3 linked regions of the Mus musculus genome follow. The protein of the gene in region 3 interacts with the protein of the main gene of each other region in a biochemical or structural test. Links are inferred from orthologs where the notes say so. Each region holds a gene or a part of one and is shown on either strand. Other genes may lie near its edges.

The links. The genes of interacting proteins can lie anywhere in the genome.
Region 1: the proteins of Ube2d2a (region 3) and Rnf170 form a complex in vitro, tested with the Homo sapiens proteins (2 studies listed by BioGRID). The link is inferred for Mus musculus from reciprocal best matches to the Homo sapiens genes UBE2D2 and RNF170.
Region 2: the proteins of Ube2d2a (region 3) and Mex3a form a complex in vitro, tested with the Homo sapiens proteins (2 studies listed by BioGRID). The link is inferred for Mus musculus from reciprocal best matches to the Homo sapiens genes UBE2D2 and MEX3A.

The regions. Positions count from the first base shown.
Region 1 is NC_000074.6:26,125,781-26,129,423, forward strand, and holds part of Rnf170 (E3 ubiquitin-protein ligase RNF170), read left to right. Parts: intron 1-123; coding exon 124-199; intron 200-3,266; coding exon 3,267-3,375; intron 3,376-3,643. UniProt on the Homo sapiens protein: E3 ubiquitin-protein ligase that plays an essential role in stimulus-induced inositol 1,4,5-trisphosphate receptor type 1 (ITPR1) ubiquitination and degradation via the endoplasmic reticulum-associated degradation (ERAD) pathway.
Region 2 is NC_000069.6:88,530,681-88,534,801, reverse strand, and holds the start of Mex3a (RNA-binding protein MEX3A), read right to left. Parts: upstream 2,857-4,121; 5' UTR 2,408-2,856; coding exon 1,954-2,407; intron 1-1,953. UniProt on the Homo sapiens protein: RNA binding protein, may be involved in post-transcriptional regulatory mechanisms.
Region 3 is NC_000084.6:35,770,028-35,774,366, reverse strand, and holds the start of Ube2d2a (ubiquitin-conjugating enzyme E2 D2), read right to left. Parts: upstream 2,809-4,339; 5' UTR 2,379-2,808; coding exon 2,355-2,378; intron 2,337-2,354; exon of another isoform or gene 1,766-2,336; intron 1-1,765.

The sequences.
Region 1 (3,643 bases), on a different chromosome or scaffold from region 3:
GCATCACAAGTGCCTGCATCCACAGAGCCATGTCATCCACCCGTGCTTGTCAGCAGTTCAATGTCAAAAACTAGACGAATAAAGCAGATGGGTTAATCTAACTTTATAAACTCTGTCCAACAGAAATGTACAGCAGAACATCCATCCAGAAAACCAGGAGCTAGTCAGAGTGCTTCGAGAACAATTCCAAACAGAACAGGTATGCTGATGTAGTATATATATTTATAGAAGGGGATGTTGTAGTTTCCTGTTATAGGAGTGGTGATAAGACATTAGAAAGTAGCTTTAAGAAGCATCAGCTGCTTTACTCCTTACATTATATTGTTCCTCAGACTACATATTTTCAGATTAAGCACATGTTCTTTTGACGGGACTGGGAGGACATCCAGGCAGTCTCGCGTATTCCAGGCTGGCCTGGCACTTGTTGGGGAGCTGAGAATGATCGTGATCTCCTGATCTTCCCGACTCTACCTCGGTCACAGTTACTTTTCTATTGCTGTAACTATAAGTCCAGGTACAGGCAACTTATAAAATAAAGCATTTAACTGGGGGCTTGCTTACTGTTTCAGAGAGTTGGTTCATTATCATCATGGTAGGGAGTGTGGCCGCAGACAGGCAGGCGTGGCTCTGGAGCCGAGTGAGAGACTGGGCTTCAGGTGGGCTTTTGAAACCTTGAAGCCCACCCTGAGTGACAACAAGGCCAAGTCCCCTAATCCTTCCCAAAACAGTTCCATCTGCCAGAGGCCTCGCGTTCAAATGTTATATGACCATTCTCATGGAGACCACTAGACCTCCCAAGTTCTGGAGCTACTGGCAAGAGCGATCAACCTAGTGGCATGTTGACTAGTCTTAATCTATACGGATGCATGCAGTGAGGATTTTGGTTTCTTTGAAAACCACAGAAACATATGGGAATATGTTTTCATTTTAACCTCAGGCGTGGATATGGTGTTACCTCACGTTCTCCACAGCAGCTGACTATGATTTGCATCATCCTTAAGCAGGGGCATGGTTTTGACAGCGTTTTGGAATTCTGGGGACTCTTCAGAGGGTGTCTTAAGTGCTAGAGCCCCATAGATGGCTGCTGGTTGGCTGGTTGGTGGCTGGATGCTGTTGGTTGCGGTTTATCAGGCAGTCGGGTGCAAACAGAAGAAAAGAAGGAACTAGATATCCTGACAGACAAGATCAAATTTGCTCCAAAGAACTTGACGCCCTAGTCAGTAGGAAGTAGTCTCATGATACCATCACCCTCTTTCTCCTCAGTCCTTTTCTCTCGCCTACCTAGTGTTAGGGGTTGGAAGGGTGGAAGAAGAGAGGTAGAGAAGGATGGAAGAAAGAAGAACCCAGAAGTCCAGTTACAGATACATGCATGCTTTTTATCGCCTTGTTCTAAAGGAGAACGATTTTTGTATTTGTTGTTTGTATAAAAAATGTAGTCAACTTTAACGGAAATGAAATAGATACTTCCTTTTTTATTTCTCTCTCTCTCTCTCTCTTTTTTTTTTTTTTTTTTGACACAGAATTACATGGTCCTGGCTGGTCTGGAACTTGCTGTGTAGACCAAATTGACCTCAAATTCATAGAGACATGCTTGCCTCTGCCTCCCTAATGCTGGGCTTATAGATATGAGCTATTCTGTTGGCTTTTGTTATATTCTTTGAAAAACATCAAGAAAGGTATAAGTTTTTATTTTAATATTAATTACTGGTTTTTTTTGTTTTTTTTTTTTTTTGAGGCAGGGTTTCTCTGTGTAGCCTTGGCTGTCCTGGACCTCACACTGTAGATCAGGCTGGTCTCCAACTCATGTAGATCTGCCTGCCTCTGCCTCCTAAGTGTGCAACACTGCCTGGTAGTATTTACATATTTTAATATTTTCATTTTGTAGTATTAACACTGGAATAACAATGCTACCTTCAATTATTTTAGTAATTAGTGCTATTTTAAGAAATTAAAATTCTAATTATAATATCTTAACATTTATCAAAAGTTCTTTAATTCATTTTATAATTAAGTTTGTATTTACTACTTTTGATTTTTGTGATAATTTTATTTTAAAAAGTTTAATACCTATTTATTGTATGTGTATGAATGTTTTGCCTAATGTATGTGCATCATGTATGTGCTTGGTGCCATAGAATTCAGAAGAGGATGTTAGAGCCCCTGCAGCTGGAGTTAGAGATGATTGTGAGCCATCATGTGTGTGCTGGGAACCAAACACATGAACGGCAAGAACGGGTCATGCCCTAAACTGCAGAGCCAGCTTTCCAGCCCTTGATGAAGGTGTACGTTTGCGTTAGTGCTGGATAGTTTTCTAGGTCCTTAGGTACTACAGTGAATCCTATAAGTGGAGTTTTTGCCTTCACGGCATTTTATTCCAGAATCATATTTGATGTGTGGTACTTGTACTACTATCTGATCACAACAGTGATACAATCAAAGAATATGCATATATTACATATTTGCGTGGTTTGGGGTTTTAAGACAAGGTCTCATGTAGCCCAACCCTGGGACTTGTTAGGCAGCCAAGGGTAATTTGGAACCCTTACCTTCCCGACCCTGCGTCCTCACTGTTGGGATTACAAACATGCAATGAGAAGCATGTTAACATTTACTAGGGTGGGTTTCCAAAGGACCACGTTCACATGACCAAAAGTGGTCATTTTTTCCCTACTTATAAAATGAGCAAATAATCTTAACTGGAAGATTAATTCTTGTGGAAGATAGAGCAGATATGCAAAACTTTACAGGGGACAGGTGTTCAATGAAAAGGATGACGCCAGACACGGTCCTGCAATGCTAGCATTTGAGAAGCTGGGGAGAATTGCTGCTGTAAGGTCCAGGTCTGACAGGGCTACAAAACAAGACTGTTTTAAAAACCAAAAAGGTTGTTTAAAATGTTAAAAAAATTGGTGAATATTAAGAATGATAGTTTGATATTTTTTCTGTTTTTATGGTATTGAGGATCAGACCCAGGGCCTCATGCATGTTAAGTGGGTGCTCTCCCTCTGAGTTACACTGAAGCAGGGTGTTTCGGATTCTCTAGTTTATATCGCAGCTTGTAGAATTCAAATAACATGCATTTTAATAAAGTAGAAAAGCTAGCTTTGAGTTAATCTACATTTTGTTTTCAAGTTGTGTGTAGGGAGGAAGGTGAAGGCCACTGAGTTCAAATAAAACAACTTTGCAAGCTTCTCAGACTTGCAAGACGTTAAACTATTGCGCATGTGTAATTTCTGTCTTGAGAGATGTCTGTGTCCTTTCCCCAGGATGTCCCTGCTCCTGCCCGACAGCAGTTCTACACTGAAATGTACTGTCCAATCTGCTTACATCAAGCCTCCTTTCCTGTTGAAACAAACTGTGGACATCTCTTTTGTGGTGAGCAAATTATGTCCGACTTGGTTAGAGTCACCAGCTTGAGACCTTTGTGGATTGGTAGTGGGCTAGATTGCTCATTTTCTTTTTATCACATTTATGTTCTGAGAAGAGTAGATTGCTTCACAAGTCCTGCTCTAGTTGCCACCCAAATAATAGCATATTGTTTAGTGTATTCCATACTAAGGTCTGAGGATATTGCTCAGTTGGTAGAGTGCCTGGCTATCATGCAGAAGCCTTGGGCTTGATCCCCAGGATTGTATTACCAGGT
Region 2 (4,121 bases), on a different chromosome or scaffold from region 3:
GTGTCTTTTCTAACCCTAATGAATTGGTGGGACTCAGTGGGTTAGGAATGTACCTAACATATAGTAGGAAGGAAAAATGTAACCCCCATTTCTTTTCAGACCTGTTGGCAGATAAGAAGTCCTACTTGTTGCCAAGCCCACAGCCTTGCTGCTTTAATATCTGGATGGTGGCTTGGTTCCTGAGGCTTGGAGGATAGAAGAACAATACTTTCTGCCACCTCTGTTTATTATGTGCCACCCCGATGGGCACCTAGGTTCTGGCTCCTAAGTTTTGAATCCAAAAACTAACTTCATAGGGAGTTAGGTGTCTTTGGGAGATCTGGAGTTTGGAAGGACAAACCCAAGGGAGAAAGCCTGAGGCCGGGCTGTACAGAACGTATCAGCCTCAGCATCTTGGGTTCTGCAACCCTGAAGAAGCTTCCGTAGAAGTAGAGGTCAAAGTCAGAGAGGGAGCAGCAGCACGAGGGAGGTGAAAGGACTTCCATCTGCTTACAGAATGGGGAAGGGAGAACTTCTGTTCTCTGACAATATTCTACTAGGACAAGCTCTACTTTTATGATGGTTAGACACATTTGTGAAGGAAGCAGAAGAGTAAAGGACCCCATTAAATCCTGGTGCCTTCCACGACCTCACCCAAGTAAAGTTATTAATATCCCCACCCAACACCAGGCTCTGAATCTCCAGGGTTTGACAAGGAGGGGAAATCCAACTTTCTAAACCAGAAACCCCCAAGAGATTGAGGGAGGGGGCGCTGTGCAGGGGAGGGGCAAGTTCCCCTCCTCCACTCCAAATCCTCCAGCCCCAACACTGGGATGGATGAAGTGGAATATGTGGTAGGGGCCCCAGCCTGCCTCCCCTCCACTGCCAGGAACTGGCCTTCTTCTTTACTCCCGCGGAATGCAGCCCCTCCATTGTTCCCCACCGTGGGACAGCTCCTCCCCCCACTCCACCTCCCAGCCCAGCCCCTTTGCCATATCCAAATCCCGCCCCCCCCCCACAAGAAGCTAGGAGGGGAAGGGTCCCTAAGATCCAGGTTGTTCAATTTGGGTCCTTACCAACACTCCCACCCATCCAGGGATGCTGGGCTGGGAGGGTGTGGTAACATACTCCATTGGCTTAATTCAACACCCCTCCCAGCACACCCAGACACGCACCCCCCCCCCATATTCCAAGTGGAGGTTTCTGTCCTGTCCCCCTTCACCGACATGCCCTTCCTGGCCTGTCCCATGAATTCACTCAGAGACTTCTCTGCAGACCCCTAGCTCCAGGCCGTGGCCAGCCCAGAACAAAAGCAAGACGGAGGAGGAGAGGCCCACGCCAAGACTGGTACTTCCTCAGAAATTCCCCTCCCCAAACACAGGGGCCCTCCAACTTCGGTGTGTAAGCGACCAAGGGACCCCTCTTTGCCAAGGGCTCCCTCATCACCTCTCCCCAGACTGGGACCCTCCCCTGGGCCACACCCCCTTTCATTCCTACACTCAGCCCAACAAAGAGGCAGCTCTTCAGTCGGGCTTCGTGGACTAGGTCTCCCTCAGAGTCCCCAACTCCAACAGCAGAAGGTCCCAGGAGTGCCCCCTCCCCAGTATACAAGCAGAAACTAGAGTAGGGGCTCCCAAGTAATTGCACATTCCGTCAGTCCTTCCAGCCAGGAGCCGACACCCCCTCCGCACAGACCCTGGGATTGGGAGGCAGCTCCCCCTCCCCTTTCCTCTCCCAGTTCCAGGATATTTCTTTGTCTACGGGCGGAGCCCCAGGGGAGGAAGGGTCCCGAGAGTCGTCCCGACTAGGGGTAGCAGGGAACTTTGTGGCACTTGGAATCTGGGCAGGGGGCGGGGCCCCCTTTGTCGGGAAGGGACAGAGCCAGAGGCGCGCAAAGAAGGAAGCGATGAACTTTCCGTGCCGGGGACAGCAAGCCCCCACTCCAACCCTCGCAGTGTCCAGACGCCCGCTTACCTTGCCTGCCCACGATCTCGGCCACGTGCTCGGAGGTGGGCACGGGAACGCACTCCGTGGTGTTGCTGCTGCCCTTCAGTCGCAGCTCGGCCTCTTTGTAGAGCGCGCAGAGCTTGGCGTCGTTCGCCCCTTTGGGGGCGGTGGGGGGCTGGGGCGTCTGCGCCGCGGGGGCCGCGCTCGGGGCGGCCGGGGCCGCCGCGGGCGGCGGCGGCGGGGCCGGCTGCGGGGGGGCGGCCGGCTGCGCGGGGGCGCCGCCCCCCCCACCTCCCCCGTCCTCGCCCGCCGTGGGGGCGGGGGGCTCCCCCAAACCCAGGAGGCAGAGTTGATCAAGAGCCAGCTGAAGGGCGCGCTCGTCTTCCAGCAGCCCTCGGTCCTTAGCGCTTCCCCCGAAACATCCTAGTTCTCCAAAGCCCCCATTTCTTTCCATTATTCCAGATACCACTAGACTAGGCATGGCGAAACAAAAGCTGGGGGAGAGAGGGAGAGAGAGAGGTGGTGGAAGGGAGAAGAGGAGAGAGGAGGGGAGGGGAGAGGAGAGGAGGGGGTGTGTGGGGAGGGGGAACAAAGAGCTGGGGAGGGGGGAAGAAAGCGAGATAGAAAGATAGACCCACCCCTAAGCCCCCCTCCCCAAGCACCCTGTAACCTGACTCCCCTCGCCCCAGCCCCCGGGTGGGGGTGGGGGAAAAGAAGCAAAACCAAGAAAGCAGATCTCCTCTCGCTCCGGGGTGACGGGGTGGGGTGGGGGGCTGCGGGCCCTAGCCCCCACCCCTCCGCCTCGGACCCAGAGTCTCTACCCTCCGCCGAGCAGACGCCCCCTTAGGTTCCCGCACCGAGCCCCAGTCCCGGAGCGTCGCTCAGTGGCCCCCAATAGAGCCCAGCCCCTTCCAGCGCTCAAACTCTTTTGTTTTAAATGAACTGGATGGAGCAGCATGGAACTGACGGGAGGGGGGCGCGCCGGGGGCGCCCGGGGCATGCCGGGAGTTGTAGTTTCCCGCCCTCGGGCGCGGGGAGGAATTCCTCAACCCGGGCAAGAAGGGGATTGCGCCCCTCGGGCTCTGCCCACTGGTCACGGGAAAAGCCTCGGGTGGGTTGGGAGTTGTGGTCCGAGAAATTTTAGGAGCTGGCAGTATGCGGGAAGGGAGCGGGTGTGGAAAGGCGTTTCTCCTCTGCCCGCGGGTCCCGGGCCTCTTTCTTATGGTAATGAGGGCCGGGGCGGAGCGGCCTCGTGGCTGCAGTGCCCTCCCTCCTCCCGCGCGCGATCGCGGAGTCCACGGGCTCGGGCCTCTGGGAGAGAGCTGGTGGAGCAGACAAAGCCCGCGGCCGCTACAGTGGGAGGAGCAGGTCTCTGCGCTGTGTGGGGGCCAGGAAGGGGCGTTCGGTTGGGGGTGGGACCCCCGGTAGAGGATGTGGTTCCCTCTCTTCTCGGAGGTAGCAAGCCCTTCCCCCTCCCCCAGCCCCCCAGTTCCGGGATCTCAGAGGCCACGACTGGGAGGTGAGTTAGTTCGTGCCCCCGTGGTCCGTGCAGTGACCCGGGGAGGATGAGGAGGCGTGGAGGGAGAGGATGGGGGTGGGGGCTGATCCGGGAAGCCAGAAGGGTCCTAGAGGCTTCGTATGGCTTAATTTGGAGCCTTGAACCTTGAGTAACAGGAGTGAGATTGGGGGCCCCTGAGAACCCAGGTTTTTTATTTTTACTTTTTTAGACCTGAGCCTCGAATATAGTGGAGGAAATCTTTTGTCCCTTAGGACGGTCATTTCGCTGTTTCCTTTGCCTCCTTTATAAACCAGTAATTCAGCCCTTTTAACCCTAGAAATATGGCGAAAGAGATCATAAATAAGCTTTTAAGATTTGACTGTTAAGAGGGGAGTTAGAGTGTACTGCATTCTTTTCTCTTTCTTTCTTTTTTACTTCCCCCCTACTCTGTATCTTCTGGTTTTTGTTTTTGTTTTTCTTTCAAGAGAGGGATGGGATCTAAAGGTCTTGTGGTCAGGCTCAAGGAGTCACCTCCCCAAGTTGGATCACAGTAGATGGGTATGCTGGGTGGGTAGGAGTCCCGCCCCTGCCCGAGGGGTTTCCTTTGGGAAATCTGAGCTAGTCTAGAGGAAAAGTTTTGCATGAAGGTAGGGCAGTAGATTGACAATGGGGATGTCAGGAGGCACAGTGAGGCCAA
Region 3 (4,339 bases):
TGATTTTTAAAAAATATTTGTAAGAACTGAGAATGTAGTAGAGTGTTTGCCTTAGCATGCAGAAGATCTTGGATTCAATCCCTAGTACTAAACAAAAAGGTCTAGTGAAGGCAGGTGTGATGGTACGTGCCTGAATCCCAGCACTCAGGATCAACACCAGCAGTGACAGCCTAACTCAAAAACAGCACTAGGAGCAAGCTGTGGTGGCACACACATTTACTTCTGGCACTGGGAAGGCAAAGGGGCAGGCAGATCTGAGAGTTTGAGACCAGCACACAGGCAGAGCTGTTACACAGAGAAAACAAAACCCACAACAACAGGAACTATATTGGGCGGGCAAATGTTATTCTAAGATTTAAATGTATGTTTTGAGTCAGTGTCATCTCCCTCTCTGAAGAAGTCTGTATAGCACAGATATTAACAGAAACTCTAAAAGCTATTAACTTGATGGTTTAATCTCAGCCCTTCAAAGGCAGTGGCAAGTGGGTCATGGAGTTGAGGCCAGCCTGGTCTACACCATAGTTAAAAGTTCCAAGCCAGCCAGAGCTAGTGAGACTCCACCTTAAAAAAAAAAAAAAAAAAAAAAAAAGAATCTCTACAAAATTTCACAAACCAAACTCCCCTTTCCGAGCTTTGGGGGGCAATCTTTACAGGTCTAATTCAATACCATTTCAAATTGATAATGCTCCATTAGACTCCATAAAGACTACTAAAGTCTTAGAAATACATATACATGTTACTTAGATGTTTCTTACTTTGTTCTTATCCCTTACACAGTTTTTCTTTTGATCAAACTTCTTTGTGCAAAGACCCTGCTTCATTTTAGTACAAGATTTACTACCTGGGCTGGAGAGATGGATCAGTGGTTAAGAGCACTGACTGCTCTTCCAAAGGCCCTGAGTTCAATTCCCAGTAACCACATGGTGGCTCACAGCCATCTGTAATGAGATCTGATGCCCCTTCTGGTGTGTCTGAAGACATCAACAGTGTATTTACATATAATAAATAAATCTTAAAAAAAAAAGATTTACTACCTAAAGTCTACCCTCTGGGTTCTAAGAAATGAAAGAAAACAAAAGTTGGTAAGATGCTAACTCACAGTAAGGAATGAAATTAATTCCACAAAGTCTTGAATAAAGAATAAATGAGGTCCAATTGATTGCTGAACTGTGCTCCAACCTCCATTCTTTTGTATTCCTACCCTATCGGTCCTTATGGGTTATCCCAGGTCCAGCCACTTACTAATACAAGTTAATATCGCTCATCTGAGGAGCCAAATAAAACAGCAAACAAAACTCACCAGTGGGTAACTTCCTATTTCTAAGAGGGAAGAAAAGTAATCATAAGTGATACTAAGAAGTTAATATTTGGGGGGCTAGGGGCTAAATTTTAATCAAAGCCAATGTTCTCCATAGTATTAAATCTATCATTAAATAAGTGGATAACCTTTCATTTAAAAGAATTAAGAAGTTATTTCTAACCAAAAATAGAGTAAAATCCCTTCTAAATTGGAAGTCTCAGCAAACATAGTATATATTTTCAGGGTTAAAATCATTTTGGAAGAAGTCTGTGAAAGGAATTTCTCCGGCGGTTTTCAACGTTCGGTTTTCTTAACTGAATGGCTTCTACTCTCTACCAGTTGTTGTTCCACTAGATCCAATCCTGCAAAACTGAAGGGTTAGTTTCTGACGACATACACCAACCCCAAGGAATAAAACGCTTCTCCACTTAATCCCCTCCTCCCTCCGGTGTGGCATTTTCTTACCTCTGACTTCCAAGTCCACTTTCTAGACCAGTTAAGGTGGCCTTTCGGGAGCAGTTAGCTGCCCCAGAGTTAGTTAAGTGAACTCAAGAAAAACAGTCATGGAGCGAGCAAATGGACCCTCTGGTCGGCCTAACTATGTCCTCGATCTCAGGCAGCTCGAAGGAGGGCACCAGAGTAGGGGGACAGACTGCGAGCAGCCTATCGACCTCAGATCACAGGGCCACCCAACTACCAGCCGCCCCACCCCTACCCCCCAACCCCCCTGCGCCGCCCCAAGTCCCTTTTTCGGCCGGACAATAGCCCTAAAGAGCATCAAGTCTCAGGCTGGAGGGAGGCCTGGAAGGGCGTCGGGGATTAGAGCCTGCGAGGACAAGAGCAACTTTGGCCTAAGCCAGGGCCCCGCGCACGGGCCTTCCTGGGCGCCATCTCTGGGAGCGGGGTGTGAAGGCCGCCCCCCTGGGGCCGGCGCCGGCAGAAGGAACCAGACGCCGCGAGTCCAGCGGAGGCGATCGCGGGAAGTGCAGGCCGCAGCCTATTCAGGGGGCCCGCCCAGCGGCCCATGCCCACCGCAAACCCCCTGGCCGCTTACCTTGTGGATTCTCTTCAGAGCCATGGTGGGAAACGGTGGCGACGGCCCCCGGGGCGGGGACGGGGACGGGGGAGGGACGGGGAAGGGGCGAGGGGGCCTGAGACCGCCCGAGCGGTCGCGAGTCGACCGGAGAAGACCGGGAGCTCCCGGGAGTGCGGATCAGACGAGCTGAGGGCCGAGGCCCCACTCAGCTTCTGGGCCTGCCGCAGCGGTCACCGCATCACCCGGCGGCGGCCCCTTTATGCGCTGCTGCCACAGCCGCCGCCGCCGCCGTAGCTGCCTCTTCCTCGTACGCTCAGCGCCGCCTCCTCGGCCGCCGTGGATCCCTCCGCCTGGGAGGAAGAGCCCCCAAGCTCCGGGCTCGCCCAGCGCCTTACGGTGGCGGAGCCGGGGGGAGCCTGCTCTCCTGCCTGGTGCAGGTGGACTAAGGGACGCGCGGGCGGGCGGCGCCGCCGGGGTGGGGCCGCCGGAGCGCAGGGTGGGCCCAGGCCGAGGGGCAGGTCGGGAGGCGCCGGGATTGGCGGGCCAGGGAGGGAGGGCCGGGCCGCGCCAGCGGCGGAGGGATACGGGCCGCCCCTGCGAGCACCCTACGCGCCGGCGCAGGCGCCGGCGCAAGCACAGCCGCAGAGGGGATGACGTCGCGAGGCAGTGGGAGGAAATCTCGCGAGAGTTCAGGCGCGGGTTCTAGATGCTCACTACTCCCCCCCACCCCCCTTCGCCAAGGCCTGAGAGCAGCCTCTGGTACCCTGCGTGACTGGGTCTTCGAAGATCAATAGATGCTTAAAGGCACGGGTTTTCCATATTGTGTAATCACCATCAAACTCGGAAGTAACTAATCCGACCGTCACTTTCCATGAAAAAGAAAGGGACTTTTCCAAGGTCACACAACTCTTCAGCCTCACCACCACCACCCCAGAAAAAGAGGGTCCTAGAGCTTGCTTGCACTGGGAGCCCTGAGGCTGCTGGTCCCAACCAAGACCTCAACTGGACAGGACTCGAGGGTTCCATCCGCAGCCACTGGCTTGTTAGCATCAGGGAATGTGCCGTGTAGAATGAGAAAATATGGGAAGGATTTTTGACAAGGTTTCATTGCAAGTGGCAAGGTTGATCACCTCTCCTTACAGAGAAGGGTGGACCCCAGAGACAAAACTCTGCCAGTCACAGAGAATCTGTATGTTAGAGGGCCTGTATGAGGAGGAGCAATCTGTAGGTGCAGGTCTTTCTGAAATATGAAAGAAAACACAAAAATGCCTTCAGGTCAGATTTTTAATTTTGTTCTTTTTTTTTTTTTTTTTTTGATTCAATAAAGTTTTATTTTCTCAAATGCACAGCTGATTGAACCTGTTCTTCACCAGCAGCTGGGGCGTCTCCACCCTTTGTGTTTCTGGTATAAATCATTTGAGCTCTGTGCTTTGAAACCAGCTTGATAAGTCCTTTACTAAGGAGCTTCTGGAGGGCTGCCCTGGCCAAGGACCCGGGAATCTTCAGTCTCTCGGAGACCATGGATGGAGTAATAAGCTTATAGTTGGAAACTTCCTTACAGAGATTGTCAAACAGGACAAGATTGTCCAACTTGTCCCGAACTTTGCTTTTGGACCACTTCTTAGCCTTGGCGCCAGATTTATTTACTGGGTCTTTGTCCTTTTTGGCCGACTTTCTGACATTTTTCTTCTTCTTGTCGTCTTTGGGCGGCATGGCGAAACTCAGGGAGTCGTGTGGACCACTGCAGCTTCACTAAGATGTCAGGAAAAAAATTTTAATTTTGTTCTTAATGGTAACATTCTTGTATTTAAAAGGCAATGTAGGAGCTGTTGATGGCTCTGTGGGTGATGGTACTTGTTGCCATGCCTAATGACCTGAGTTGGATCCCTGAGACCAACTTGAGGAAAGGAGAGAACCTATTCCAAGTTAACCTGTGACCTCCACACCCAAGCACAGGTATACACAAGGGCACATACTTACCCACACAAATGTAAGTTCGAAAA